Linked DNA regions of Mus musculus. The protein of the gene in region 4 interacts with the protein of the main gene of each other region in a pairwise test. Links are inferred from orthologs where the notes say so. Each region holds a gene or a part of one and is shown on either strand. Other genes may lie near its edges.

The links.
Region 1: the proteins of Ccdc136 (region 4) and Tcea2 interact in binary tests that used the Homo sapiens proteins (3 or more experiments, as listed by UniProt). The two-hybrid records come from large-scale screens. The link is inferred for Mus musculus from reciprocal best matches to the Homo sapiens genes CCDC136 and TCEA2.
Region 2: the proteins of Ccdc136 (region 4) and Cep57l1 interact in binary tests that used the Homo sapiens proteins (3 or more experiments, as listed by UniProt). The two-hybrid records come from large-scale screens. The link is inferred for Mus musculus from reciprocal best matches to the Homo sapiens genes CCDC136 and CEP57L1.
Region 3: the proteins of Ccdc136 (region 4) and Hmg20b interact in binary tests that used the Homo sapiens proteins (3 or more experiments, as listed by UniProt). The two-hybrid records come from large-scale screens. The link is inferred for Mus musculus from reciprocal best matches to the Homo sapiens genes CCDC136 and HMG20B.
Region 5: the proteins of Ccdc136 (region 4) and Fam107a interact in binary tests that used the Homo sapiens proteins (3 or more experiments, as listed by UniProt). The two-hybrid records come from large-scale screens. The link is inferred for Mus musculus from reciprocal best matches to the Homo sapiens genes CCDC136 and FAM107A.
Region 6: the proteins of Ccdc136 (region 4) and Rab33a interact in binary tests that used the Homo sapiens proteins (3 or more experiments, as listed by UniProt). The two-hybrid records come from large-scale screens. The link is inferred for Mus musculus from reciprocal best matches to the Homo sapiens genes CCDC136 and RAB33A.
Region 7: the proteins of Ccdc136 (region 4) and Fam161a interact in binary tests that used the Homo sapiens proteins (3 or more experiments, as listed by UniProt). The two-hybrid records come from large-scale screens. The link is inferred for Mus musculus from reciprocal best matches to the Homo sapiens genes CCDC136 and FAM161A.

Annotation. Positions count from the first base shown.
Region 1 is NC_000068.7:181,683,297-181,685,931, reverse strand, and holds part of Tcea2 (transcription elongation factor A protein 2), read right to left. Parts: intron 2,385-2,635; coding exon 2,279-2,384; intron 1,490-2,278; coding exon 1,399-1,489; intron 141-1,398; coding exon 10-140; intron 1-9. UniProt on the Homo sapiens protein: Necessary for efficient RNA polymerase II transcription elongation past template-encoded arresting sites.
Region 2 is NC_000076.6:41,807,069-41,811,278, reverse strand, and holds the start of Cep57l1 (centrosomal protein CEP57L1), read left to right. Parts: upstream 1-1,410; 5' UTR 1,411-1,491; intron 1,492-1,615; 5' UTR 1,616-1,631; coding exon 1,632-1,706; intron 1,707-4,210. Other genes in the region: Sesn1 (sestrin-1), read right to left, coding at 1-257. UniProt on the Homo sapiens protein: Centrosomal protein which may be required for microtubule attachment to centrosomes.
Region 3 is NC_000076.6:81,347,628-81,351,750, forward strand, and holds the start of Hmg20b (SWI/SNF-related matrix-associated actin-dependent regulator of chromatin subfamily E member 1-related), read right to left. Parts: upstream 2,801-4,123; 5' UTR 2,545-2,800; coding exon 2,507-2,544; intron 1,862-2,506; coding exon 1,753-1,861; exon of another isoform or gene 1,463-1,752; coding exon 1,259-1,462; intron 1,015-1,258; exon of another isoform or gene 990-1,014; coding exon 869-989; intron 406-868; coding exon 359-405; intron 1-358. UniProt on the Homo sapiens protein: Required for correct progression through G2 phase of the cell cycle and entry into mitosis. Required for RCOR1/CoREST mediated repression of neuronal specific gene promoters.
Region 4 is NC_000072.6:29,413,575-29,417,074, forward strand, and holds part of Ccdc136 (coiled-coil domain-containing protein 136), read left to right. Parts: intron 1-1,211; coding exon 1,212-1,406; intron 1,407-1,856; coding exon 1,857-2,081; intron 2,082-3,497; coding exon 3,498-3,500. UniProt on the Homo sapiens protein: May play a role in acrosome formation in spermatogenesis and in fertilization.
Region 5 is NC_000080.6:8,306,978-8,311,270, forward strand, and holds the start of Fam107a (actin-associated protein FAM107A), read right to left. Parts: upstream 2,801-4,293; 5' UTR 2,508-2,800; intron 1-2,507. UniProt on the Homo sapiens protein: Stress-inducible actin-binding protein that plays a role in synaptic and cognitive functions by modulating actin filamentous (F-actin) dynamics. Mediates polymerization of globular actin to F-actin. Also binds to, stabilizes and bundles F-actin.
Region 6 is NC_000086.7:48,517,785-48,522,084, reverse strand, and holds the start of Rab33a (ras-related protein Rab-33A), read right to left. Parts: upstream 2,801-4,300; 5' UTR 2,485-2,800; coding exon 2,227-2,484; exon of another isoform or gene 2,210-2,226; intron 1-2,209.
Region 7 is NC_000077.6:23,021,295-23,024,242, reverse strand, and holds the end of Fam161a (protein FAM161A), read right to left. Parts: intron 2,750-2,948; coding exon of another isoform or gene 2,582-2,749; exon of another isoform or gene 1,802-2,581; intron 814-1,801; coding exon 696-813; 3' UTR 501-695; downstream 1-500. UniProt on the Homo sapiens protein: Involved in ciliogenesis.

The DNA.
Region 1 (2,635 bases), on a different chromosome or scaffold from region 4:
AACACTCACGGTCAGTTTGCAGGGCCAAAGTCAGCATCTCTCGGCATTTGTTTCGTACAGCATCACAGGTGATGGGCACTTGGGGAAATGTAGTGATCCTTGGAGTGGATGGGGTCCTAGGTGGATCTGGCTTCTTGCAGCTAAAGAGACAAAGCCTGCTGGACTCAGATTGAACCTGCTGTGCTCAGTTGCACATCTCCAGTAGCTGATGATACTTCGGGGTGGTCCCCTGACCTTTCCTAGGCCACAGGTGATCCCCAGAAAAGCAAATGTAGATACCATGCTGACCTCCGAAGTCTATTTGCTCTATCCTGACAGACCTCTAACTAGGCTAAATGACTTTATCTATCCCTAGTTCAGCCTAGAATGCCTGTGTGTTATGTCTCATCAGAGTAGAGCATTGGCCAGAAGGTCTACAGTGAGTACAGATCACTCCCTAAGTGGATGCCAGCTCCTCCACAGTCAGTGTCTGAGCAACACTCCATGCTCAAAATGGGATGAGATATTCTTGCTACCTCCAGAGTGCTTCCTAAGAGGCCCAAGACATGGGCCATGCTGTGAATCTCTCTCTACTAATGGCAGAACTAGGCAGATAAATCTAGTTGCCGGGAGTAAAGATGAGGTGGGAGGTCACCCAAAGTCAAGGCTTAAACTGTCACAGGTGGCCCCACTCAACACAAATGAAATTGGGCAAGATTTCCTCACATCTGGGCCTAACACAAGACTTGCCCAAAATTAATGCTGTGCCTACCAGACTCTTTCCTCACACCACCTCTGGAAATCAGCAGCATCAGGTGACTTTCTGAAGCAAAATCAACTATACTATTGAGGTCAGGATATAACATATCAGGAATGCTACACTAGAGTCCAGAGCTTAGCCTGTCATGGCCTCAGCCCAGGCTAAAGTAGTCTCTCATCTATAGTCTGTTACTACTAGTGCTCCTAGTCTCCATGGTAACTGGGCTGTCCTGACTACCTTTAAAGCAATGGTGTTGCCACCGAAATGTGGAGATAAGAGCTGTGCACACCTCTAGCTCCAGATAGCATTTGCATAAAGGGACCCATTCACCAGTCCTGATGAGTAGCACAAAGATAGGATTTGAGGAAGTAGGCAAAGGGCTCTGGGGCTGGGCCAGCTCTGTTGGATAGGAGCTACTTAATGAAGGTCTCAGTGATGCCAGTGACAGGCAGACACAGCCAGACATCTCAGATGGGCATGAAGAAAACTAAACAGTGGGACAGTATCCAACATGAAGCTGACAAACCTTGTAAAACTCACCCTGGAGAGGGACCTTCCCTCAGGGCAGTAACCAGGCAAATGCACACCAGCCTCCTCTTCCCACTGAGGAAACTGAGTCAAGAGGCATAAATGTATGTACCTGCCTTCAGGTATGCTACCTGAGATCCGTAGTCCTTGAGGCATCCTTTGATGATGATGTAGGCAAAGGTGTGCCCCTCCCTTGATTCCTGGATTTGCCATCAGAAACATCTGCCATTATCAGAAAACAGATGGTGTAGACTGGTCAGGAGCAGGCAGCCAGGTGAGGGCCCAGCCTCAGCCTGGCCATTATCCTTTTTGCTTAAAGCTACTTGACAGGCAAGGTGCCAGGAGGCTACCGGACCTTCCTACTGGTCCCCAGCAAGTCCACCAGCCTCTTTAGGACACCCCCCCCCCCAACAAGCTGCTGTAGGACTCATCAAGGCCCAACCGTGCCAAAAGACAAGCATATGCCTCACACAAGGCTCCTTCTGAAAACATGGGCAGAAACCTTGCCCAAAGCCTGAACTAGGGACCAGGGGACCAGGGCATGTGACTGTAAAGAGAAACAGGCTCTGGGTTGTCTCATAGAAGTAGACTGAACGCAGAAGACTACCTTCCTAATCAATAGAACCATCTCTGCAGCCTAGTAGCACTGTCCCCAGAAACAGTTGCTGTCTGCCTAGCTACCCTCTTGCATAGGTAGCCATCCCATTCCCCTCCTCCTTCAGCTGGAGCATCCTGCCTGGATCTCCTTTTCTGTTGGCCTCCTGCAGCCTGAAAACCTCCTCTGCAGCATATACCCTTGTCTCAATGATCATACATCCCAGGCCATCACCTCCCCATCACAACAGATGACATCCATCTTCTACCATCTTCATCCATGTCCAGCCCAGGGATGAGTCCTTTCTGATCTATGTTTGTCATATCCCACCATATATAGTTTCAATCAGGGTAGCAGAGCCAGCACTCTATGCTGTGCTGACCAGCAAGAGCTTCCCTTTACATTCTGAGACTCACCCAAGAGCTTCTTCCAGGACTTGATGAGGGACTTGGCAAGTGCAATGAGCTCCTCATCTGAACTCTGCTTGCGCAGAGCATTGACAGACATCCCAACACGGGTGGACTGCAAGACAAGTGGCCTGAGTCAGAGGCGGAGGGGCCTGTTCCAGAGGCGGATCCTCACCAAGGACTCTTGGCTCCCACAGTGGACAGCTGGGGAATGGCAGGGACAGAAAACATCTCTCCCAATGGCTATTTGGGACCCAGGGACCTACCTCCCACCTCTCTTATGACCAGAGAGAATCAGAAATCCTCTCCTTAGAACAAAGTTGTTTGTGCCAATTAAGCCATGTGGGAGTTAATATAGGGAGCCCT
Region 2 (4,210 bases), on a different chromosome or scaffold from region 4:
CCGCTTCTCTCTCGCACATCTTTAAAGGGACATCTCTTAGAGAGCATAAGCAGATGAGCAAGAAGTTTATTCATCCCATCCAAAGAAACCGCGTTTGAAAGTCCGTCTGAAGGTCGGGAAAGTGTCTCTTTCGCTGAACGAAGGTATTCGGTTTTTCTCAAAACGATCTGCCTAATGTTTTCCAGTGCTGTCTCTCTAGTAGTCGTGTCTCTGCTGCACAGTCCCTCCCATCTCGCTTCATTCTCTCCTTCAGCCATGACAATCAAGAGCTTTTTCTTTTTCAGCGTTTAGTCAGTTACCTTTCAGCATTCCCCCAAAGCAGCCCGTCGTTTGTTTGTTTTTTAAACAAAAAACAAAAACAACGAGAAACGCTAAGAATAAAGTCAGAGAAATCCAGCCGTCGTGAAAGCAGGCGTCTGGATGGCACTGGGAATCACACGTGCTTTTTAAAGTTGATGCTTTCAAATCGATCCACAAGGCGGATCACCCAGGCACCCTCTCCTACACGAGGGCAGTCTTCTGACAGAGATTGAAAAGAACAAACTTGGAAAGTTGCAATCTCACAGAGCTGGTTAGCTGGACACAGAGTCCCGGGGAAGTGTTCTCTGTGTCGCAGGGTCAGCGGATATCCTCACGTTGTGGAGCTGTCAAATCCGTGCTTGGTCCCAAAAGGCTGGTAAACAGTAGAAGGTTCTCCAGCCATTCGATTTTTTGTCTGTGCAGCGGCTGGTTCTCGACCGTTCCCACCCCGCCCTCCTCCGACACCAGTCTCCGCCCCCCTCGGCTCCTCCTAGCGCCGCGGCAGGGCAGCGGGCGGGTGCTGGCGGGGTAGGCGGTAGACCCTGGCCCTTAGCTGCTGGGGCCCGAGGCTCCGGTGCTCCGGGGGAGCAGTGTCCGCCAATCACAGTGTCAGCGGCGACTAAGGGCGGCGTCCCCAACCCTGCCGGTTCTTGTCCCCCGGGGTACGCCGATGCTCCTCTTACTCCTCTGTCCTCGCCCACCTCCGCCAAGCCAGAGGGCACCCCGCAATCCAGCAGTCATCGAGCCCAGGGCTGCACGGCTGAAGCAAAGGGCCCCAGGCACAGAGCCCGCCCCTTCGCCCAGCCCCGTCGGTGGGGATCGGCCCAGAGGGCGGGAGCAGGGAGGGGAGACGGGGTCCTCACCCCCAGCCCCTCCCCTGTCCCCGCCCGGGACCGCCGGGAGCCGCCCCTGCCCCATGCCTGCCTCTCCGCCCAGGCACACGCGACCCGCAAAGACAGCCATTGGAAGCAGCCCCGCCCTCGGGCAGAGTACCTCCGGACCCCGAGTCCAGCGCGCCACTGACTAAGACCGGCTGCTGCGCATGCGCGACGCCGGCCAGGGCGCATGCGCTTTCCGCGGTGTTGTCCTTTCTCGACGTTTGGAGGCGCTGGTTTGAAGAAGGGGAAAGAAAAGTAAGGAGTACAGATGCCCGGAGATGTTTATCGAACAAGAAAAGCCGAACAAATAAAGGTGCTCTATAGTATTCCAAGTAGAAATGGGATAGAATTATGAGTGACAGCCAAGCAGGCAGGGCTTTGCGTTGGCTTTTGGGAAATGTAGTTGTAATGCTAACTACGCGCTCTGTTTGCGACAGAAACTACAATTCCCAGATGCCACCGCGACACTTGTCTTTGCCCGCGAACCAACGGTTCTGGAGGCCGTGGTTAACTGGGAGCGTCCATCTGGTAAGCGTGGTAGGCTTGGTTGTGACCCGTTCAGTGAAAAAAAATTTTTTTTTTCCCCTCGGAAACTCTGGTGCCGACGCCATCTGGGATTGCTTCCTTTCCGTCGTGGCTTGCCGGGAGAGAAATAGTGCAGGTGCTCAACACCTTTGGTTGGGTGACTGAGGCAAGGATTTGGGGATCATTGTTTGGAAGGCCAAGGAGCAGCCTTAAGACAGGCAAACTGGAAAAAAAAAAAAAAGAAAAGAAACAAAAAAGCAAAACAAAAAACCGACGCCGCTGCTTCTGCTGTCCTCTTGCACATAGGCCCGTGCTGAATGGATTAGGAATCCCTAAGCGTTGCCATTGCACCTTTGCCCTTACAGGGATCTGTTTTGTGCTGTCTTTGCTCAGTCAGATAGCATCCGAAGGGGATCTTTGAAAGCAAGTCTCTTGTGTCTGAGACTGAAAAGAACTTCAAATGTCCTTAGGTTTGGAAGGTTCTGTATGAAAAGAAGCCTATAAAAACCTCCTAAATGTGTTATCTTTGAACGATATGGTCATTTCTCTAAAGGTGTTTTTGGAAGGTTTTTAATAGACTGGTAATCGGATTCGATTTTAATCCTTTGTTTTACAAAGTAAACATAGTCATAAAATATTAATCTGGAACTAAAGAGATGGTGCAGTAGTTAAGAATTGTTCTTATACAGTACTTAAGTTCGATTCTCAGCCCCAACTTGGCAGCTCACAGCCATTCATAACTTTAGTTCCAGAGGATCTGATGACTTCTAACCTCAGTAGACACCAGGCATAAACCTGGGGCACAGGCATACATGCAAACAATACACTCATTGAAAAATCCAAAACCATAAAAATTAATGAGGCTTTTAACATGAGAAAAGTGTAACAATAACTTTTATTCTCCTGCTGTAATTGCTGTCTGGAGGCTTACTGCCTCCATCAGCTAATCTAGGCCCAATCCTGCAAGCTTCTAGCTTCTGTAAAGGCCTATAGTGTTTCCAGCTTTTGAGACTTCCTGCTGAATAAGCTCACTCTTTCTAGCTCTTTCTGAATTCTTGCTCTCTGGTTCAACTCAGCTGTTTTGGCCCAAACTCCTCTGACTGATTCAAACTGGCGTCTCTTGCTTCTGACTGAATTGCTCTGCTTGGCTTCAAACTAACTTTAGCAATGTGTTCTACTCTTCTGGCTCCTCCTTATTCTCTGGCTCAGCCTGTCATGTCTAGCTTGTTCTCTCTTCACCCTGTCTCTGTAAAACTCTCCCGGTAACACTGTCTCTTTTCCTCTCTCCCTCTGTCTGCTCCCTCCTATGTTGCCTCTCTCTCCTCTCTCATGAGAGTTGGGTAGATCCTAGTCTACTGAATCTTTTTCTGATTCATCACTTTGTTTCCCTCTCTGTTAGACTTCACTTTCAAACAAAGCTGCTTCCTTCTACAAACTTTGCCTTCATTGTTTGGGATTAAAGGTGTGTACTAAGGGTGTATCTGTGTTCTAACCAGAGTAGCTATGTTGCCGAATTAAAATCCCTCTACAGAAGAGTGAGAAAGATACCCCTCATCTTATTAGAACACTTATGTGGCCAGGCGGTGGTGGCACACGCCTTTAGTCCCAGCACTTGAGAGGCAGAGGCAGGCAGATTTCTGAGTTCGAGGCCAGTCTGGTCTACAAAGTGAGTTCCACGACAGCCAGGCCAGGGCTACACAGAGAAACCCTGTCTCGGAAACAAAACAAAACAAAACCAACCAAACAAACACTTATGTGTAAAATACAGTTGTAATACTATTTGATATTGTTGGCTAGAGGAACATTTAGCCCAGTCTTAGAAAGTCAGGGAAGTCTTCATCCCAAGGAAAATGAAGGCCAAATGAATAGCATAAGGCTTCAGTCACCAAGTGCCTTCTGTTCAGAAGGATGTCACTGAGCTTGTATTTTAAGATAGTAAATAAGTAATGTAGAGTATATAGCAAAGGAAACAATGACAGCCAGTTAGGAAGGAATGAAAGGTGCTTGGCTGTGGGAAAAAAATCTTCCTTTTCAGTGGGAGGAGGACCATTGCTGGATGGATGTGCAGGTTGCCTGCCACCTCAGGACAGCTGTTAGAAGATGAGCTTGCAGGGTGGAGTTGCCCTATTCAAAGACCTCCAATATTGAGAGGGTCTTTTAGCCTCAAAGCTGAGGGTGGGGGTTGGGTACACAGGGCTTTGCTTTTGGGAGTGGGTGACACAGACCATGGGCAGGAAGAGTCTGCACTGGGAGGGGGAGGGGTGCAGAGTTTTCTCTGCCTTGTTCTGGGTGGGCTTAATTCTCCAGAGTGTCACAGTTGACCAGCAGCCCTGGTTTTTATTTGGGGGTATGGAGTGTTTTGTTTTGTTTTGTTTTGGGTTTTATTGTAGGCTCCTCCAGTTACCTTTCTTCAAGTTAATTTATATACTTTGCATTCTTTGATGCAACAGCAGTTACTATTTGTAGCAGAACTAAAGAAAGGAAGAATTATGGAAATCAAGGGCTCT
Region 3 (4,123 bases), on a different chromosome or scaffold from region 4:
AGAGGCCAGAGGAGGTTAGCAGATGCCCCAGAACTGGAGTTAGAGGTGTCTGTGCTCACACCCAAGGGGGTGCAGGAGCAGTGAGTGTTCTTAACTCTGAGTGGCGCTGGAGTCCCCAGCTTCCTGCATGCCAGGTCAGCACTCTATACATGAGGCCCTCTCATGGTGGGGTGGGTGGGTGGTGGTGGGGGTAGAGCCCTTGGTTCTGTGCATTCTGGGCAATGACTTCACCACTAAGCTATGCCCCACCACAGAGTCACTGTGTCTCCACAGTGGTCTTGCTTTTATCTATGGAACACACTAGCTTTGGGGGTAGGTATCTTCTCTCTTAAGTACTTCTGGACTGAGAGGCCCTTACCTTGTGCCCATTCAGGAGGGTGTTCATGAGCCCAGAACTGGAGTCCTCTAGTGGGGAGGGAGGAAGGCAGGTCAGCCAGCACCCTCCCAGTCCAGAGGCCCCACCTGGACGGCCCCACATAAACCTTTATGCTTATGAGGGGAGTTTGGGCCCATTCACCTTTCCTTTTATTGTTGTTGGGTTTTTGTTTGTTTGTTTGTTTGTTTGGTTTTGGTTTTATGAGACAGGGTTTCTCTGTGTAGCCCTGGCTGTCCTGGAACTCACTCTGTAGACCAGGCTGGCCTCGAACTCAGAAATCCGCCTGCCTCTGCCTCCCGAGTGCTAGGATTAAAGGCGTGTGCCACCACGCCCGGCTTTTGTTTGTTTTTGAGACAGGGTTTCTCTGGGTAGCCCTGGCTGTCCTGGAACTCACTTTACAGACCAGACTGGTCTCAAAAGCAGAGATCCACCTGCCTCTGTCTCCCAAGTGCTGGAGTAAAGGTGTGCACCACTACTGCCTGGCTCACTCACCTTTTTTAATTTTGTTTTCTTGAATCTTCTCAGTGCAGACCTTGTAGGCCTCTGACTGCTGGTATGCCCACAGCTCCTTCAAGTACTGCTGTTTCTCCTTCTCTGCCTCATCCAGGTACCGCTAGGAGGGGGGCAGCATCCTCAAACTAGGGCCAGCCCAAACGAAGGTAGGCACACAGATGTGGCCAGAGCCAGGCCCCCAACTCCCCTCATACTGATGTATTCGTAACCCCTCCCTTGCCTCCCTTCCTCCCTCCAACCCACAGAGAGAGGGTCCCTTCTCCAGGACTACTGGACGTTCTCCACCTTGTTCTTTGGGCCTGGGTCTCTCACCGATGGGGCTTGCCCAGGGATCCTCCTGTTTCTGCCACCCCTTTCTCTGGTCTCTACCTGCTTCTCTGCCGGCTGCAGCTTGCTCCACTCGGCGCCCAACATCTTCGTGATCTCCGGGAATGGAAGGTCCGGGTGGCGGGTGCGAATCTGTTCCCGCCTCTCATTCAGGAAGCGAACATAGCCAGTGACGGGGGCCTTGGGCCCATTTGGGAGAATCTTCTTTCTTTTTTTGCCTTTGGGCCAGCCTCGCTTCTTCACTGGCTGCAGGAGGAGGCTGTGTCCTTGGGAGGGGCTCTGGGAAGTGTGGGTGGGGGTCTGGGGCATATGGGCGGGGCCTAGTCTAGTGGTAGGTCGGCAGATCAAGGGTCAGAACTCTAGAGAACCTACGGGTCCTGCACCAAGACAGCCTCCTAGGGGTGGGGCTGAAGCCACTGACAGGCTAGGCTGGGGTGTGGCCTCTTGCTAGGCAGTGGGAGGATCTTATAGTCTGGATTTGTGAGGTATGTGTTGCTGAGCCAGCGGCCGGCCAGGCTTTTCAGATGGGGACTCACCTCCTCCTCCTGGGGCCCCTTCTCTCCAGCTCGGGAACCCTCGCTGCGCTCCTGCTTGACAGCCACTACAAAGGCCCCGTGCTGGCCCGGAGTCTTGCCTCCCGCAGGTCTTGGGGACAATGGAAACCAGCGTCATCCATCAGTGCCAAAATCATTCCCCCATACCTACCCATCCCCTTCTTGTCATTGGAGATCACAGAAGTATGTGGGAGCACGCATGAGCCTGGAAAAAGGGGGTGGGGACCCAGAGTTTGAGGATCCAAGGATCACAGTAGGCCACTGGCGGGGTGGGGACGGAGGACGAGGTGAGTTGGTCCTGGGGCCTGGGAGGAAGATGAGATAGTGAGGAAGGCCATAGGGTGTCTTGGCAGTTCTACAGGGAGTACAGAAATCCCCGAAGGGTGACAGGACATGGTCAGAAGTTCCTGTAGTGGGGATAAGGTAGGTAGGGTATAGGGACAGGACAGGATCAGGGGTTCCCAAAACAGAGGTACACAGAGGTACCTGAGGATGAGACAGGGTATGTCCAGAGATCCCAGCGTGGACATGGTGTGTTTAGGGGTACCCGAGGGTGGATATAGGGAATGTTTAAGAGTTCCCAAGGATGCAGGACAGGACATGTCCAGGAGTACCCGGGGTGGAGACAGGGCATGACCCCTGGTACTCGAGATGGACACAAGGCATTTCCAGGGGTACCCGACGATGGGGACAGGGCTTATCCAGGGTCGGGACAGGCTGGGGGAGGCGCACTCACGCGGTGGCTGCGCCTGGCTGCCGGGGACCGTGGGACATGGCCACTCCGGGCGGGATCTGGAACAGAAGCCGGCAAAGGTCAGGGGGTCCTGCCTGCCACCTCGATGGGAACCGCAGGGCGATCCCCGGGGGGCCCGGACCGGGGAGGCGGATCCCGGGGCGGGGAGGTCCTCGGGCAGGAGGCCCCGCGATCCTTTGTTGCGAGATCGAGTCCCGGAGGCCGCGCCCCGCAGCCCCCGCCCCGCGCAGGCCCGGACTTCCCGGCTCTTTTCACCTCTGAAAAAACTTTCCCGGGACCTGAGACGCGGCGACGGTCCAACCAAGCGCCCGCGCCCGCTCCGCCCTCATGCTAATGAACCCAAGGATAGCGCTCTAATTGGCTGAGGCCTCCATGAGAGGTGGGGTCATGCAGATTAGTCTCGGCGCGCCGGGCGGTGGTTGGCTGAAGATCTGCGGAGCCGCGTGGGAGGTGCGTCGGCAGGTTGCGGGCGGGTGCGTCAAGTTCGGCTGCGCTCCGGCGCGCTCGGGACCAATCGGAGGCGACTGGCGGCGTGCTGTGGGGCGGAGCTCCTTAAAGGGCCAGTAGTCCCCATTCTGACCGGTGAGCTAGGGTGTGGAGATGGGGACCGGGGATATTCGGCAGAAGAGGCGTTTTTAGTAGGCTTCTAAGGAAGGAGTTAGGTTCCAAAGAGGCACCCCCCGCCCCTGCAGTACGGCCAGGTGTAGTTTTTCTTACTACGTTGAAAAAAAATGGGTCTGGTGAGATTGCACAGCACTTGAAGGTGCTCGCCACCTAGTGGACGACTTGCATTCGGAACCCACAAAGTGGAATGTGAGAATGGTTTTCCAGCAAGTTGTCCTCTGAACTCCACTGTGTGCTGTGCCATGTGCATCACACACAGACCTAAATCAATAAATGAACGTATGCTTTATAAACGGAGGACTGGGGAAATGACCACCAGGCACTGATTTCCCTTCCCGTGGAACCTTGATTTTACTCTCTGACCAAGGGGTACATTGAACCATAGGAGGAGTAACAGGCTGGGAGGCTGACACCTAGATCTGAGATAGAAGCTGGGCTAAGAGCATTTTCATTAAAAAAAAAAAAAAATCATTTTGAAGGTCAGTGCGGACTGACTCAGCAAGCCAAGGGGTTTACAGAGAAACCCAACAACTTGAATTTGATCCGCATTATCCAAATGGAAGAGACAGCACCACACATCTAGGTTGCCAAATGTGATTTTACTCCAGTCTTCTGTAACATCCCACAGTAAAAGAGAAACTGAGAGTTGGTTCTATGGTTAGGAGTGCCTGTTTCTTTTGCAGAGAACCTGGGTTCGATCCCCAGCACCCATTTGTCTGCTAAAAAGTATCTGTAACTGTCCCAGGAGACCTCTTTTTACCCTTTTGAGCATTAGGCAAGCAAACAGGCTTACATGCAGGGAAAATGCTCATAAACGTGAAATAATAGGTGTCAGATCTTGTTACAGATGATTGTGAACCACCATGTGGTTGCTGGGATTTGAACTCCGGACCTTTGGAAGAGCAGTCAGGTGCTCTTACCTACTGAGCCATCTCACCAGCCCAAATAAATCTTTTTAAAAACAAATGATTGAAG
Region 4 (3,500 bases):
TGTTTTGTTTTGTTTTTTAGAGATGAGTGTTGAGACAGAGTCTTGTGTTTAGACTAGGTTACCCTTGAACTTGTGGTGATTCTCCTGCTTCCACTTCTATTGCTCAGATTATAGGCATGTACCACCATACCCAGCTTGGTACAGGACAATATTTTTGACTCACTTTCTTTAAGAAAATAATTCCAGCAATGATACATAAGGGTTTGTTGACTTTTTCTGTGGTGTATAAGATGTCAGTCAGCCATTGCCATTTACCCTGTTGAGCACTGTCAGCCCTTGATTATGATAGGAACTAGAAAGGAGTGGAGCCCCTTGGGGAAAAGGCATAAGAGTCTTGGGAGATGGTGAGCCTGGCCATGTTCTGCGAGGGTGCTCCGGCTCCTGCCTCTCCCAGTAGTAGACAGTGACCCTAGGGAAAGGCCTTTATGATATAGAGGACTGAGAAGGTCACAGTCTGGTTGCCATTCCATCCCAGGGCTTACATTTTGCCTGCTTTCTTCACTCCCACTCAGTTGAGAGATCCACTGGATCCCTGATTTGCTTCAATACCTCGTACAGTGCTAGAGCTTACAGGAAGTGAAAGGTGTGCTGCCGTACAAGTCACTGAGGTTTTACTTGATTTTAAAATACCTGGTTCTGAGAATAAGAGGCTAATGTAGCTTTAACCCAAATTCAGCAATGGCTCTTACTTTACTAAAGGTTTTACAGTATGATTAAGACTAGGGATGTAGCTCGGTGGTAGAGCACTGGCCTAGCATACATTAGGTCCTAGGTTCAATTTCCAATATGGGTGTCAAAAGTCAGGAAAACAAAAAATAAGAAAAATTATATCCAAATTAAGTCCTGATTGATGAAGTAAATAAATTAAGTCTAAAAACAATTGACAGGGTGGCTTGAACTGGTTTTCCCTGCACTGCTGGGAGCTGGAGATAGTGTGTCACAGGGAAGGGAGGGCACTGAGATCTCTGCTTCTCAAGCTACTCTCTGGGAGCGTGGCAGATGAGCTTAGTACAGTATGATGGAGTGCTCAGAACTACCTAATGGCGCCCCCTTAACATAGAGGTCTGAGCTGCACAGGGCGATCAATCCAGGTGACTGAACAAGGAAGAGAGGGGGCCGAAAAAGTGGCAGGAGGCAGGGAGCACACGGTGCTGTGCCAGCCCCTAACTATACCTTCTGTAGTAACCTTGCCCTGCACTCCTGACCCATAGTGTGATGCTCTGCTGGCCAGACTGACAGAATTGCAGGACAAGTTCAAAGCCAGCCAGGAGGAGATTGGGCACCTGCAGATGGAACAGTGTGAGCTCCTGGAGGACCAGAGGAGGCTGCAGGAGGAGCAGGGCCAGCTGCAGGAAGAGCTGCACAGGCTCACATTCCCACAGCCCAAATGTGGCATCTTGCAGAAGGTACTCATTGCCAGGGCGAGACCATTGATCAGGGGGAGGCTGCTCTGAGAGGCTTCCAGGTATAGCTGTCCATGGGGAAGAGAGGGAAGTGAGCAGTTTCCTTTCTTGCTCAGGTACCTTTTATTTTCTTACCATTCTCCCCACAGAGCTGATTTGGGTTTTTCTTCATAAAGGCTTTAAACTTTAACATTTATATTCTGAAGTCTGTGCAGTGTTATGTATTTAGCTATTTGGTCAGTCTGGAGGAAGTACACCTGAAATCAGTTTGTGAACTGTAAAATATCTACACATTGGAGTCTTTTTTTTTTCCGATTAGCAAACTTCCATGGAAAGAACCGCTTTCCCCAGAAGGGCTCTGTGAAGCAGGGAAGAGGCAGAGCCCAGCAGGGATGGGGCTGAGGAGGGCGTTTCTTCCTTAATCGCCGCCTTTCCTTCCTCCTCCCTACTCAGAGTCAGGAGCTGCTTTCAAAGCTGCAAGATCTGTGTGAAATGCAGCTGCTCTACCAAAACATGCAGGAGCAACAGCGAAAGCTGACACAAAACCAGGAGTGTGTACTGAAGGAGCAGCTAGAGGCACACAAGCATCTTCGAGGTTTCAAAGAGTCTCATTTCCAGGAAGTGTTGGCGAACCCTCAAGATGCTAGAGGGCCTAAGTCCTCCAGTTGTGAGAATAAGGTAACCACAGCAGCAGGAAGGGGTTTGGCTCTTGTGAGGACAGCTGTGCGGCAGGGAAAGGGCTCTGTAGAAGAGTTGAACCAGGAAGGCCTATTTGGATAGGAAGTAGGATGAGACTGACGCCCTTGTCAGGGTCTTCCACGGGCTCCACTACTTAGACACCCTGAGTATCTCACGCAGAGGCGCACGCTCTGCTGTGATGTTTGGATGCAGAATGATTTTCTTTTTAAAGAGCTGAAGAGAAAGCAGCATCTAGAACAGAGTTTAGGTGGCCTGGAAGGTCTGTCTGACCACTGGGTTCTATCCCCACAACATGGCATTTTCAAAATATGTGCAATCAGCTCACTGTTTGTTTTGATTCCTGTTGACCAGCCCTGAGTGTGTCATCTTTTTGTGTGGGCTAGAAAGTCTGCTCCATTGTCAGAGTCTGTAACCTTTTGAGTCTCCATAACAAATCTAGCCCCAGTCATCTCCAAGGAAAACAGTTGCAGCAGACAGGATCATGGTGCCAACTACATTATTTTACTGAACGTTGGGCCAGGTTATAGGAACTAAATAGAAAAATCATTGTTTGTCAGACACTATCAGGAGTCACTGTCATGCCTGTGAGGTAAGATGGCTAGGAATTTCTACACAAATCTGTTCAGAGTTGGGCAATAAATTTGGTCCAAGGTCTCAGTGTAAGCAAGAGCAGGTAGACAGTTTCAGTTCAGGCTAAAACTACCAGTTTTAATATTCCCATGAACAAGGAGAATCAGGAAATGGAGGAAGTCCAAACTGTGGGACTTCTTGAGCATTCCAGGGGTGTTAGATATCCAGGCTGAGAGCCTGGGTAGCATAGAAACTGGGAAGTCACGTGTAAACTGTTTCCTTGATCTAATACTGAATGTATACTTGAGGCATGGAAAACATACTTTCAGGGAGAAGGTACAGGGACTAGTGAGGAGCAAGACCTTGATTCCAAGCCTGAATCTTCCAAGAAACAAATTCATAGTCACACATTTGCAGCTGGGCTGATTGTCCCATGAGGGGTGGTGGAGAGGACTGAGCCCAAGGTCAGGATGGGGGCACTTGACTTAAGAAGATCATCGGTGTGATAGGGAGCCCGGGTGTGCGTGAGACCTACCTACACAGCTTCAGGGAGGAAGTTTCTGCCAGAGTACAGAAACCAGTAGAACGGGAGCTCTAAAATCACTTAGTATCTGTCCTGGGAGATTTTTTTCAAAGTAGCAGAAAGCTGCCCCACACCAGTCTCCTGTAGGTTAAGGCAAAGGCAAAGGCCTTGTGAAACAGAGGTAGGTGTGTGTGCTCTTCTCTCAGGTAAGCACTCACATCTGCCCTAGGAGAGGGGCAGCTGAAAGGACTGGAATATCTCACAGTAATGGTGATGTCTCCTGCCCCCTGCCTCCCCCCTAGTTC
Region 5 (4,293 bases), on a different chromosome or scaffold from region 4:
TGAGAACTCCTGGGTGATTCAGTACTCAGCTGTCTTCGTAAAGCAGGAAGAAGGGTGGGACGGGAAGTATTCAAGCCTCTTTGCTCTGGCTGAGTAACTCGAGCTCGCTGAGGCTGGCGAGTCACCACAAGCAGGTCTAGTGGATGGCTTACTTTTTAGGTCTTTAACCCAGACATCCTTCTCTGGAGAATCATGGTGTTTGAAGACTGAGGCGCTCCTATTGGGCATGGAGCTCTGGGGCCAGAAGGTGTTGGCTAAATGAGTGGCCTGAATGTCTCTAAGGGGGTGGGAGGAGTTTGGGAATGAGAAGAGAGTCTGATTCTGTGTGTGCACAACCTGGTTGGAACAGTTGACCCAATCCCTGGTCCCTTCCTGGGAAGTGAGGAGAGAGTCAGAGGAGAATGACACTCTCCCTGCAGTGTCAAGTTTACACTGAGAACAGCTGTGGGACCCAAGGTCCCTTCACCTCCTCTGCCTCTTTTTGGCAGTGTTTCACATATCCCAGGTTGGCTTCAAACTTGCTACATAGCCAATGATGACCTTGAACTTTTGATTGCCCTGCTTCCACCTCCCAAGGGCTAACATTATAGGGATAGCCACATGTCCCATTTATGAGATATCAGTGGTTAATTTCAGGGCTTTGTGCATGCTAGGTAGGTTCTTGACCAACTGGGCTGAATCCCTAGCTTTGCCTATGGTCTTCATGTCCCTTCTGACTGCATTCCCTCTATCTTCAGTGTTCTTATTGTGTTTCTGATGCATCAGTCACGGCAAACAACACTGGGTCCAGTAAAGTGTCCAATGGATAAAGCAAAAGAAACAAATGTAACACATAATTGTAGCTTGTGTGACCTCGGGCAAACAGCTCACACTCTCTCAGCCTCTGACCTGTGGAGGTCATGGCAACCTCCACCACCCTAAGGTCATTAGAAGGTGAGATGATGGTGTGCACACTGTACTTTGTATACTACCTTGCCGAGTAAGCCCCATCTAGGCAAACTATTAGCCTCCTGTCTTGCATGTTTTGCAGTGAGCATGGAACTTGGTCTGAATCTCATGATTATCTTGATGGCAACTAATTTTACAGTTGAGAAAAATCAGAGCTTATTAAGCTAAGGTCAATGTTGAGTATGTAGCAAAGCCGGAATCATTGGACTCCAAACCTTGGACTCTTTCTACCACAATATTGTCTCCCAGGAACGGCATGTTTTTGACTCAATAGAACCAATTTACAGCCCTTTGCTCTCTCTGTATATTCAAGAAACCCTAAGGAAGAGGCAGTTGGTTCCCTTTGATGACTGAGACCATTAAGGCCAGAGAATCAGCCAGTGAGCAATGCAAATACTGCCCTGCTGCTTGAAGCAGCCTTCCCTGTCAGGCCTGTGGCCAGACTTCAACCCCCTGTCCCTCCAAACCTTTCCGGTCCAGCATCAGCAGGCCCAGAGGGGAGGCTTTGAGAAGCACTGGCAAGAGAAGGAGAAACATTCAGAGAAGCGACAAGCTGGCAGCCACATGTCCTGCTTGCCCTTTCCTCCCTGTGGGTGGTATGCATTTGTAGCTCACTGGCCAGTAACCTAAGAACATACATGGCCACATCTCTAGGTCTCCCTGAAGACTCAGGCCAGCCTTCTTCTTCGTCTTGGAGCTACCTGTCCATTTGGGCAAGAGGGCCCAAGACTACTCCAGACCAGCTTCCTCAACTCTTTGTCTTGGCCCCCTGGAACCGTTTAACCAGCAAGAAGGGTTGAGTTTGAAGGGTGAGGCATATAGGGTCCTTAGCAAGGTTGGGGATTGTGCCATGCTGTTGAGTAGGAAGCCACATGAGCACACTACCATAGTGCTGCCCTTGTGAGCTGCTGCCACCTGGCAGCTGGCTCAGGGAAAATCACAGCAGGAGTTACCACACTTCATGCTAGGAAGCATGAAGGATCCAAGCTGCTCAGAAACCTATGTGTGGGAACTGTCAAGAGGCCATCCCACTTATAGCAGCTTCCTAGCGACAGGCAATCCTCTATTCCCTGATTTCTCTAGTCCCAGACTGGCCGTGTACTATATGATGAAGCTAAGTCCATCGGCAAGGTGGGAATTACCCATAGCCTGCACTACCGGTCTAACCCCTGATTCAAAAACTGGCAATAAACTGAGAAGGTGGGCAACCCCTTCTTAGGAGCAAACCTCAGAGAGGTCATCTGATTTCTCCAGATCTCAAAGCCAATGTATGAGGGAGCCAGAGTCTGAGCTGAGCTCTGGTGCCCAAACCCAATTCCGTGCAGAATTGAACCTGGACTATCTGTTGATTTTGTCTATCTGTTCACTATTAAGTGAACCCTTCCTGCTGACCCTTCACACCCCTACTGTGTGATAATGGATTTAAGAGAGGCTGTAGCAGGTGTTAAATTCCTCTCAGTATTTACAAGCAAACGGTCAACCAGACTACAGAGCTGTCACTGAGAGCCTACTTAACCCCATACCCCCCACCTCCACTTTTTATCCCTGCAGCACCTCACCTCAGGGAGGCAGGGTCCCAGTACCCACAATTTGAAGGCTTCAGTTGCCGAGACAGCTTTCTCTGATGCTCTCAGGTCCTTCTCCTTCCCTCCACCTTCTCTTGGAACACAGTCAGCCTAACAGCATGCGAAGCAGACCAGATTCGAGTCTTACTTCTCTACAGGTCCTGGGCTGTGAGCTCCTCTGCAGTGCCCGGGCTGCTAGTTCCTCTGCAGGTCTCAGACTTAGGGAGTGCTAAGCAGGTCCTAGATGGCTGAGGCAGCCGCCCCCAAAGGGCGGGCCTTAAACCCCCAAGATGGGAGGCACTTTTGCACTCCCATTTATTCTGATATCAATAAAAAAGAACTGTTGCTATAGAAACCGTTATTTCACTTGGTGAGTGGCCATGTCCGAGACTCAGAACACCATGTCCAAGCCACCCTGATTGAGAGGCACAAATAAATACATGTTCTGTCAGACTGATGAGGCATAAGAATCCTGCCAAGCTTTGTTCGGAACAAGGCGAACAAGGCGGCTCCTGGCTTCTAGGGAGGAATTTCCCTTGTTTGTATGGGAGGGGATTCCAGCACTTCCCCAAAGGGGGTGGGGGGACCAGGCTTCCTGCTGCAGTGACTGAATCTTTAGAACTTGCCTCTTGGATACTAGCAGGGAGAGAACTATAGCTTGAGTCAGTTCTTGGCAATTCTCCAGGCATAGGTGTAAGAAACATTGTGAAATGAAGTGTCATCTACAAATGTGTTGGGCAGTGGTGGCACACATTTTAATCCCAGCATTTGGAGGCAAAAGCAGGTGGATCTCTGTGTTCAAGGCCAGTCTGGTCTACAGAGCGAGTTCCAGGACAGCTAGGACTACACAGAGACAGTCTCTAACTAACTAACTAACTAACTAACTAACTTCACATAATTAGCTTCATACCTGGAACTTCACAGAAGAACCAGCAGGCTGTAGCCCAGGAGAAGGGCAGCAGATAGAGTTTGCACCTAGCCCACCCTACTCTGATCCCAGTCCTTTCTGAACTTTGGCTTTCCTGACTGTCAGCTGAGGGTAACAGTGTAGCTGTGTGTGACCTCAATGAGATGGCGTTCACTAACACAGCCTGCAGAGAACTGTCATGTGCTAAAGGCAGGGTCTTAATATGCATGCTTGTGCCTGGCCACAATGAGAATTCGTGCAAATAAAAGCTGAGGACATGGGTAGGACCCCAAAGACGGTCTAGGTGCTCGTAGATCAAAGACCTTCTCTGCACCCCTGAGCTTGTTTCCACTTGAGCATTGGGTCTAGTCTGGCTTTTGGTATTATCCCCTGCTCCGCCCCCATTGAGGAAACCAGCACCTGCCAGTGAGTCTAGGTCTGTACCCCAGTTTACTTTCTCATGGAACTTTGGTTGGCCAAGGGCAATGAGGCCCAGGATGCACATCACAGATAAGCAGACACATTTCCACATACAGTTCTGGGTTCTTTTTGGCCATAGGATCTGTTCGTTTAGTCAACATCATATATATATATTCCTGGTATGATCTAAGTGGGCATATACATGATGGAAAGGAGACAGAGACAGATATTACTCCAGTCCGCAGGGAATCCACATTCAGTGTGTGTGTGTGTGTGTGTGTGTGTGTGTGTGTGTGTGTGTGTGTGTGTATGTGTGACAGTAGATAAAGATACATACAAGAAAATGTCACCCAGTGATGTATGGCTGTAGAAAGGCTGAGTGAGGACTGGGCAGTGACTGGTAGCTTGGGAAGGGTGGGCACAGCCAAGGCTGACTCACAAGGAGTTGGTCAT
Region 6 (4,300 bases), on a different chromosome or scaffold from region 4:
GAAAAAGCATGAAGCACAATCTACGTCCTTCTTGATTTCTTGCCAGCTGCCATGTTCTGCCATCTTGCCACAGACACTCTGGTCTCTCACCTGCCAGCTTTGGCCTTAGCGATTCAACAGCTTACAGGGGAGTGAGGTCAGCATGTCCCAGGTCCCACACTCCACTGAGGTTTCTTGCCCAATTTGTCCTCAGAGGTTCCTCCTTGAACTGTGTTACAAGGCTTTGTCCTTTTAGAAATATCATCTTCCCCTCAAAACCCATATTAAGCACTTATCTGCACGGGGTGTTGTGCTGATCTGTTTCCAGTGAGTCACACTGTCACAGGCTCTGCCCTCTGGGGAAAAAAAGTCTAGGATATTTGGCAGGGACTTGAAAGCCAGTTAGTTAGGTTAAGTCCAGGGGTGGTGGTTGTGGCCAGGGCCGGGGGTAGGGTGTGGGGTGTGGGGTGGGGTAATGGTTTAAAGCCCTCCCCAAGGCCATTGGTTGATAACTCCATCCACTGTTCACCTCCTACCCCTCATTTCTCCTCTTCCCTTTCTCCCCCTTCATCTCCCTTCCCTCCTAGACTCCCATGCACTTCTGTTTCCCCACCACTCAAACTTCAGAGGGATTTAATATGCTGCTCCAACTTTTAAGCCCAGGAAACACTTCAGCTCACTGTAATAGCTGATTTTAAGTAAATGATAACATTAAACATGATTCTGAAGGTGTTTTAAAATGCATCCATTGATTTATTTCTACTTTGATTATAAAAAAATCACGTCTTAGACTTTCCAATGTCTTATAGCCATATATTAAAGAAACTAGGCACCGTCAAGGAAGAAGCCCTGACCTGTGCAAACATTCAACATGAAGAGTCCTTGAAAAAGAAAAAAGACAGATCCCCGCATTGGCTTTAAAAGGCCATCCCTGTCGCCTCAGATTGGAAAGAGCTAAAATAGATCAGAAGTTCAAAAGAATCTATTATCTCCCAGACCCAGAATCTCTCCTTCTCTCTCCACCCATCTTCCTAAAGCACAGTGCTTTGGCTTGTTTGCTGAAGTCATTTTAAAATGCAATCATTTTGATCACCAAGAAATCTTGCACAATTTGGGGTGTTTTGTCATTCTCTCCAGTTCACCAGTCCTTCACTCTGTGTCACTCAGAACACAGGACAGGGCATGTGTCTCCTTCAGCTGTTTGACCAACAAGTTTACCTTCATCTCTGACTTCCCCGGGGGTCCTGCTCAAGCAAAGGCCAGCTATGAGTCTAGAGGACTTGGTGTTTAGTAACCCCGGTGTCTTCTTACAAGCTTTCTATGACACACAAAGCTGTCCTTGCCATACCCCGCTTCCTGCTACCCCCTCCCAACACACTGACATACCCTGTCTTACCGAGTTTCTACTTTCGCTACACTAAATGAACATACAAAAATATTTGTACTTGGCCTATTTAGTAAACTATGTCAAGGCACTTCCCCCTGACCCTCAGAGAAGTTGTTGTGTGTTTCCCAACAAGCCTTCTGAAGACAATGCCAGTAGAATGAGTAATGGGCTCTTCATTCACCAGCTTCATCCAAACCGATCTAAAGCAGCAAGCATCTGGGAGGGACTGCCCCCAAAGAACAAGTTTTGGGAGATTATGAAGAGCCAGCAGGTGACTGTGTCTCAGCCTTTAAAAGGGCTTTGTGACATAACCATGCTCCATGCCACCTCCATCTCAAGTCAGCTCTACTCACAAGTATAAACTGCATTCTAAAATAAAGCCGTGTTCTTGCTCCATTTATTCCCAACCTCTCTAATGTCACAGGGCTTAGCCAGGATGACTTTTTTTTTTCTTTTTTGCAGCCTATTGGCACCCAAGAGGTAGAAAGGACCTCAAAATGTGTAAAGTGCTTTGAGATCCATCCCACAAAACTAGGACCAGAGATGTCTCAGGCCTTTCTGTGTTCAGGGGTGTCTCTCCCGTTTAGGATTGAGAACAATTTCAAACCTGCTTTTCCCGGCCAAAGCTGTCAGGTAGGGGCAAAGGGTAAGAATGCAACCACCCTGGCTTGCCAGAAAATTTGGGTTAGGTGGGGATGGGCCCCTGAAAGAAGCTAAAAGGGTTGTGGATGTGCCCAGGGTCTTGAGCTCGGCAGGTGGCGACACAGCCAAAGCTAGTCATTTATTATCACTAGCAATATACCTCAGGCGGAAACCCCCTCCCAGGTTCCTCCCTGCCCGGACCTGACCAGCAGGATCACCTTGATCTTCTCGCCCTCGATTTCCACGGTCTTCTCCCTGAAGTCCACACCGATAGTGGCCTCAGTCTTGTCTGGGAAAGTACCCCCGCAGAAGCGGAAGGTCAGGCAGGTCTTGCCCACGTTGGAATCCCCAATCACGATGATTTTGAAAATGCGAATCTGCACGTACTGGTCCATCGATGAGTCGAGCTCCAAGGATGCCAAGCCAGCAGCTGAGGCGGGCTGCAGGCTCCCATGGCCCAGGATGGGCTGTGCCATCTCCCCGGGACAGGACCCGGGTCCCAACCCCACTCGAGGGCTCCACACAAAGAAAGCGGCCACGTTAGTGCGCTCAAAGCGAGAGAGCTTTGTGCGTGTGTGTGTGTGTATGTGTGTGTGCTCGCACGCGCGTCTGGAAGTGTGTGTCCGCCCGTGTGTGCGTGCGCCGGCAACGTGTGTGTGCGCGCGCGCGTGAAGAGGGTGCTCTCACCCCAGGCACCCCTCCTCCTTTCCTAGTGCACCCTCCTTTCAGCTCAAAGGCACAGACACAAAAGCTTGAGAGAGAAGAAATGGAGACTGGGCCAGCCTTGAGAGGTCTCCTTCTGCCGGTGTGTGAGCTCTGGGACTGCAGGCTCAGGCTGTGCCGCGCCTTTGCTTAGACCCTCCCCTTCTGGACCCCAGGGACACACTGGAGGGAGAAAGCCTAAGCACAACAGGGAAGGGATGAGGAGTGTGGAACACAGCGCCTCAGGCGAGCCTTCTCTTCTTGTCCCCAGTTCTGTGGTGGGTTTCAGGCTTCCCACCCCTACTTTGAGCGCATAGGCTCGGTGGGCAGTGAGCACAGCTGGGGAAGACAAAGAGCGCTGTACCCTAAGGCATCGCAGGAGAGTTTCGAGTCCGGTGCAGCATTAAGGGGTCGGGATCTGAGATACCTTGTTCACACCTCCACAGCCACTGACAGCTGCGCCACTGTGGTTCCCTGCCTCCCCCCACCAAGTCTTAGGAAAAGGAGGTATTCAGTCTTACTGAGTAAGCAGGTGCACTCTTTGGTGCCCAAGGAATTGGGGAGGACACTGCCAGGACACCAGTGAACGCAGTGGCTTGTGGAGGGCCCCCACGCAGCTGAAAGGAGGCAGACACGGGGCACGGGCGTGAGTGTGTAGGGGGTGTTACTGTTTCTGTCAAAGACTTGCCAGATGTAGGGGGGCTCGTACCAGGCGCCAACCTCCCCTCATCACACCACGAGCACCCACCCTCTGAATGTTCAGGAGGGTGGTTCCCATTGGCTGCCACAGTCGGTTGTGTTTGGCTGGCCAATGAGGAAGGCCCGCCGCGGGAGAGGGCCATACAGAGGCTAGGAGGAGGGGGAACTAGTGGGGACAGTTCCAGCAAAGGGGGACTTTGTTTCTGTGGCTAACCATTACAGGCCCAGGTGAGGGCACTTAGGACACGGCATAAACCCCATGATTCCTGATACACTGAGCCCTTCACAAAGCCATACGGTGTTTCAGATTGGCAGAGTTTGAAGGGGAATTGGAATCCCAAGGAGGGTCCACCCACCCCCTGCAAGTGAATGTAGAATATAGTGGTTGGGTCTAATTTGTCAGAAGCCTAGATTATGCTTGGAAGATGATAAATGAATACAACTTTTTTACGATTTCAGAGGGTAGCTTCCCAAGGCTTACTAACCATCACACAACTTGGTCAAGACCCATATTCCATCTCCCAAAAGTGACTTTCAGGTTTAACATCTGTATGAAGTCAACTTAGGTACGATTTGCATACAACAATGAGTACCCATTTTATGTTTGTTTTAGGAATTTGCTCATCTCCCTTATATTTCATAGGCTAAGGTATCACAGACATATACCATTAGCATCAACATATGAGATATTGCTAATGTCATCAAAGTCAGGGGAGCCAGCAGCACACATGAGCTGCCATTTTGCATGTGAGGCTGATCTACAGGAAGCCTCAGTGTAATGAAATCCATTCCCACTAAGGAAAAATGTAAAAGTAACTTTTGTTCACCTGGTATAATTGTCATCTCAGAGACTTACAGCTTCCATCTGCTAACCTAGGCCTAGGATTGGAA
Region 7 (2,948 bases), on a different chromosome or scaffold from region 4:
TGAGGCAATACGACTGGGGAGGTTAATCATGAGACCCCCTTGAGATCACCATTGAACTTGGGAGTGAAAGGCCTCCACGGGAGGAAGGACCGTGCTAAGGAGGATGGTGAAGCAGAGAGATTTGCTTTGGTTTTTTAATGCTTTTAGGCCTTGAGATGGCTCAGTAGTTAAGAGCACTTATTTCTATAGAGGGCTTAGGTTCAATTCCCAGCACTCACATGGTAGCTCACAACTATAGTTCTACGGTATCCAATACCTCTGATGTCTGTGGGTAGAAATGCACATGGTGCCTACACAAAACACTCACACACAAGTAATCTAACTAAGTAACTAACGAAATACCCAATTTAAAGTGCTTTTAAGAGACGGTCTCACTATGTTGCATACAATGGTCATACACCCAGTGGTTGAATTCATAAAGACCTCCCCATGATATCCCGAAGCCTCAACAGAATCTGACTAAAAAGACCAGACTCTAAAGCAAACCGTGTCAGGAATGTCTTGAGGTACATGGGGTTAGTGACATGTTCTTTATTGAGCTACAAGCGTTGTCACATCTTAAGTGAAATTACTTTCTTGGTGGACTGGATGAAGCCGCCCCAGAAACATCATGTCTTGGCAACTGTAGGACACCGTAAGACGGAGCACAAAGGTGGAGGCCAGAAGTACTGAGAAACAGAAAGCTGGTGATGGCCCTAACCAATAAACACAACCTGGGTGACTCTTTCAAACAACATCGGCCTCTTCTGCAGTTTTTCCTCTTGTTCCTCCAGTTCTTGCCAATATTCTCTCATCCTGGCCTTTTCACTCCTTCTAGAACCAGATAAAGAGAGTGGCATTTTAAAGGTCAGCTACGGAAGCTCTCCTAGGACATTCACCTCAGAAGACAAACCAGGAAGTGAGAGCACAGCTCAGCCCAGTTCCTTTTCTAGACTGGCAAGATTTTCATAAATCCAGAATAAAAAGCCCAGGTTTTGAAGAAACACAGTGTACTGCCCTGGGAATGGTCTGGTCATTTTGATTTCCAAAGTCTTCAAGGCAAAAAGACTTCAGTCTTGCCTGAAAAAGTGTTTTATATAAAAGTATACAAAAGCAAGAAAGTCTGGTCCAAATGGGTATCTTAAAAAATATTCTTTCAAAAACAAGACCCTGAAACTGGTCAGTTGTGGCACAAACCTTTAGTCCCAAAACTCTGGGGCAGAAGCAGGCAGATATCCCAGTGTGGGACGAGCCTGGCCTACAGAGCTAGTTCTTAGGGCAGCCCAGGGTACACAGAGAAACCTTGTTTCAAACACCAAAATAAAAAGACCCTGCTTTTCTTCTTTCCCTAAATGAGATCACCTAGTGGGCAGTGGCAACATTAATTAAGTGGGAGTAGGTAAGAGAGAAAGTGGGGCTCATGAGAATGTAGCAACTGAGGGCAGAGCCAAAAGCATGAACCTCGCTGTGCTCATCCTCTGGACCAGATCCCACAATGAATTAAACTTCACTGTTTTTTTGTTTTGTTTTGTTTTGTTTTGTTTTGTTTTGTTTTCCTCTGTATAAGATATACTAGAAGCAACCAAGACAAGAGAGTTTCATGGGTACGGAAAATAATTATACTTTACAAAAATTATGCTTACTCAAAGTAAGTTGGTATTCAACTTCCTACAGGCAAATACTGTATTCCTAAGGAATTTTTTGCTCAAGTTCATCAAACTCGGCTCTATTAGTGGGCTGATCCTATACTGTAAAGGAAGGCTCAGTGATAAAATAGATGTACGTATTTGGATCTTAAAAGTTAATAAGTCATATTACTTACCCAGCTTTGGAGGGCCTTTTCTTGCTTAAGCATGACCATTTTTATGTGCAATGTTTGGAATGCTGGTTTTCAGACTCTGCTTTATAGAATTCTAGTAGTATTCTGTAAAGGACTGTAGGTGTTCTGTGGCTGCTATCAGTCATGAGGGGCAGCATGTACCCACCATGCATCCACTCAAACTGTTGTATTTGGTACAAACTTCGAACAGAACTCCCTGACTTATCCAGATCAGCCAGTCTGTGTACAAGATCCTGGCTTTGGTCCTCACATGCCCAGCCCCCAGCACCAGATGTATAATGTACATATGTATGTATGTATAATGTATGTATGCAATGCATGTATATATGCCAAATATTTACATAATTTATAAATAAGAACACACTTGCATAAATAAGGTTTTGTGCTGGTTTTTAAGCAATTACTAACTATGACCATAACAAAGCCATTTCTGTTCCACATGGTCTCATGGTTCTCGCTATGGAGGTAAGTAAATACACTGACTGTCATTATAAGATGTATATGTGTGCATATATGTAACAGTTGAGTAGGAACAGCCAAAGATTATTTAAATCCATAAATTAAGATGCCATAGTATTTTCATATCTAGGTATCCACTAGTTAAGCAGGAGGAAAGGAAAGGAAAGGAAAGGAAAGGAAAGGAAAGGAAAGGAAAGGAAAGGAAAGGAAAGGAAAGGAAAGGAAAGGGAAGGAAAGGAAAGGAAAGGGAAGGAAAGGGAGTTTGGCAGCTGATGTTGGCGTTCCCAGGCTCTTCCGTGGTACCTGAGCTCCTTCACCCTGGCTTTAACTATCTGAGACAAGCTCTGGTGGGAGCCATAAGCCTTAACCCGGGTTGCCAGCAGTTTCTGCAAGTCTTTCATTCTTTGCTTCTGTTTAGTTAGGATCCGATTTCTCTCTTCTTCCAACATTTTCTTTTCCTCAAGGGATTTCCTGAGGGCAACAAACTAAGGCTTAATTAATGCACTTTAAGCCAAGGAGGAAGTTGTCCAGCAAAGACTTAACAGGGCATAATTCAAAGGCTGGAAAAAAAAAAAAGCCACCTTTTGACCAAAATCTTAATTGTGACCTTGGAAATCCAAGCAAGGCTGATGGTGTAAGCTTATCTACCTATCATCCCCAAGGAAATCAC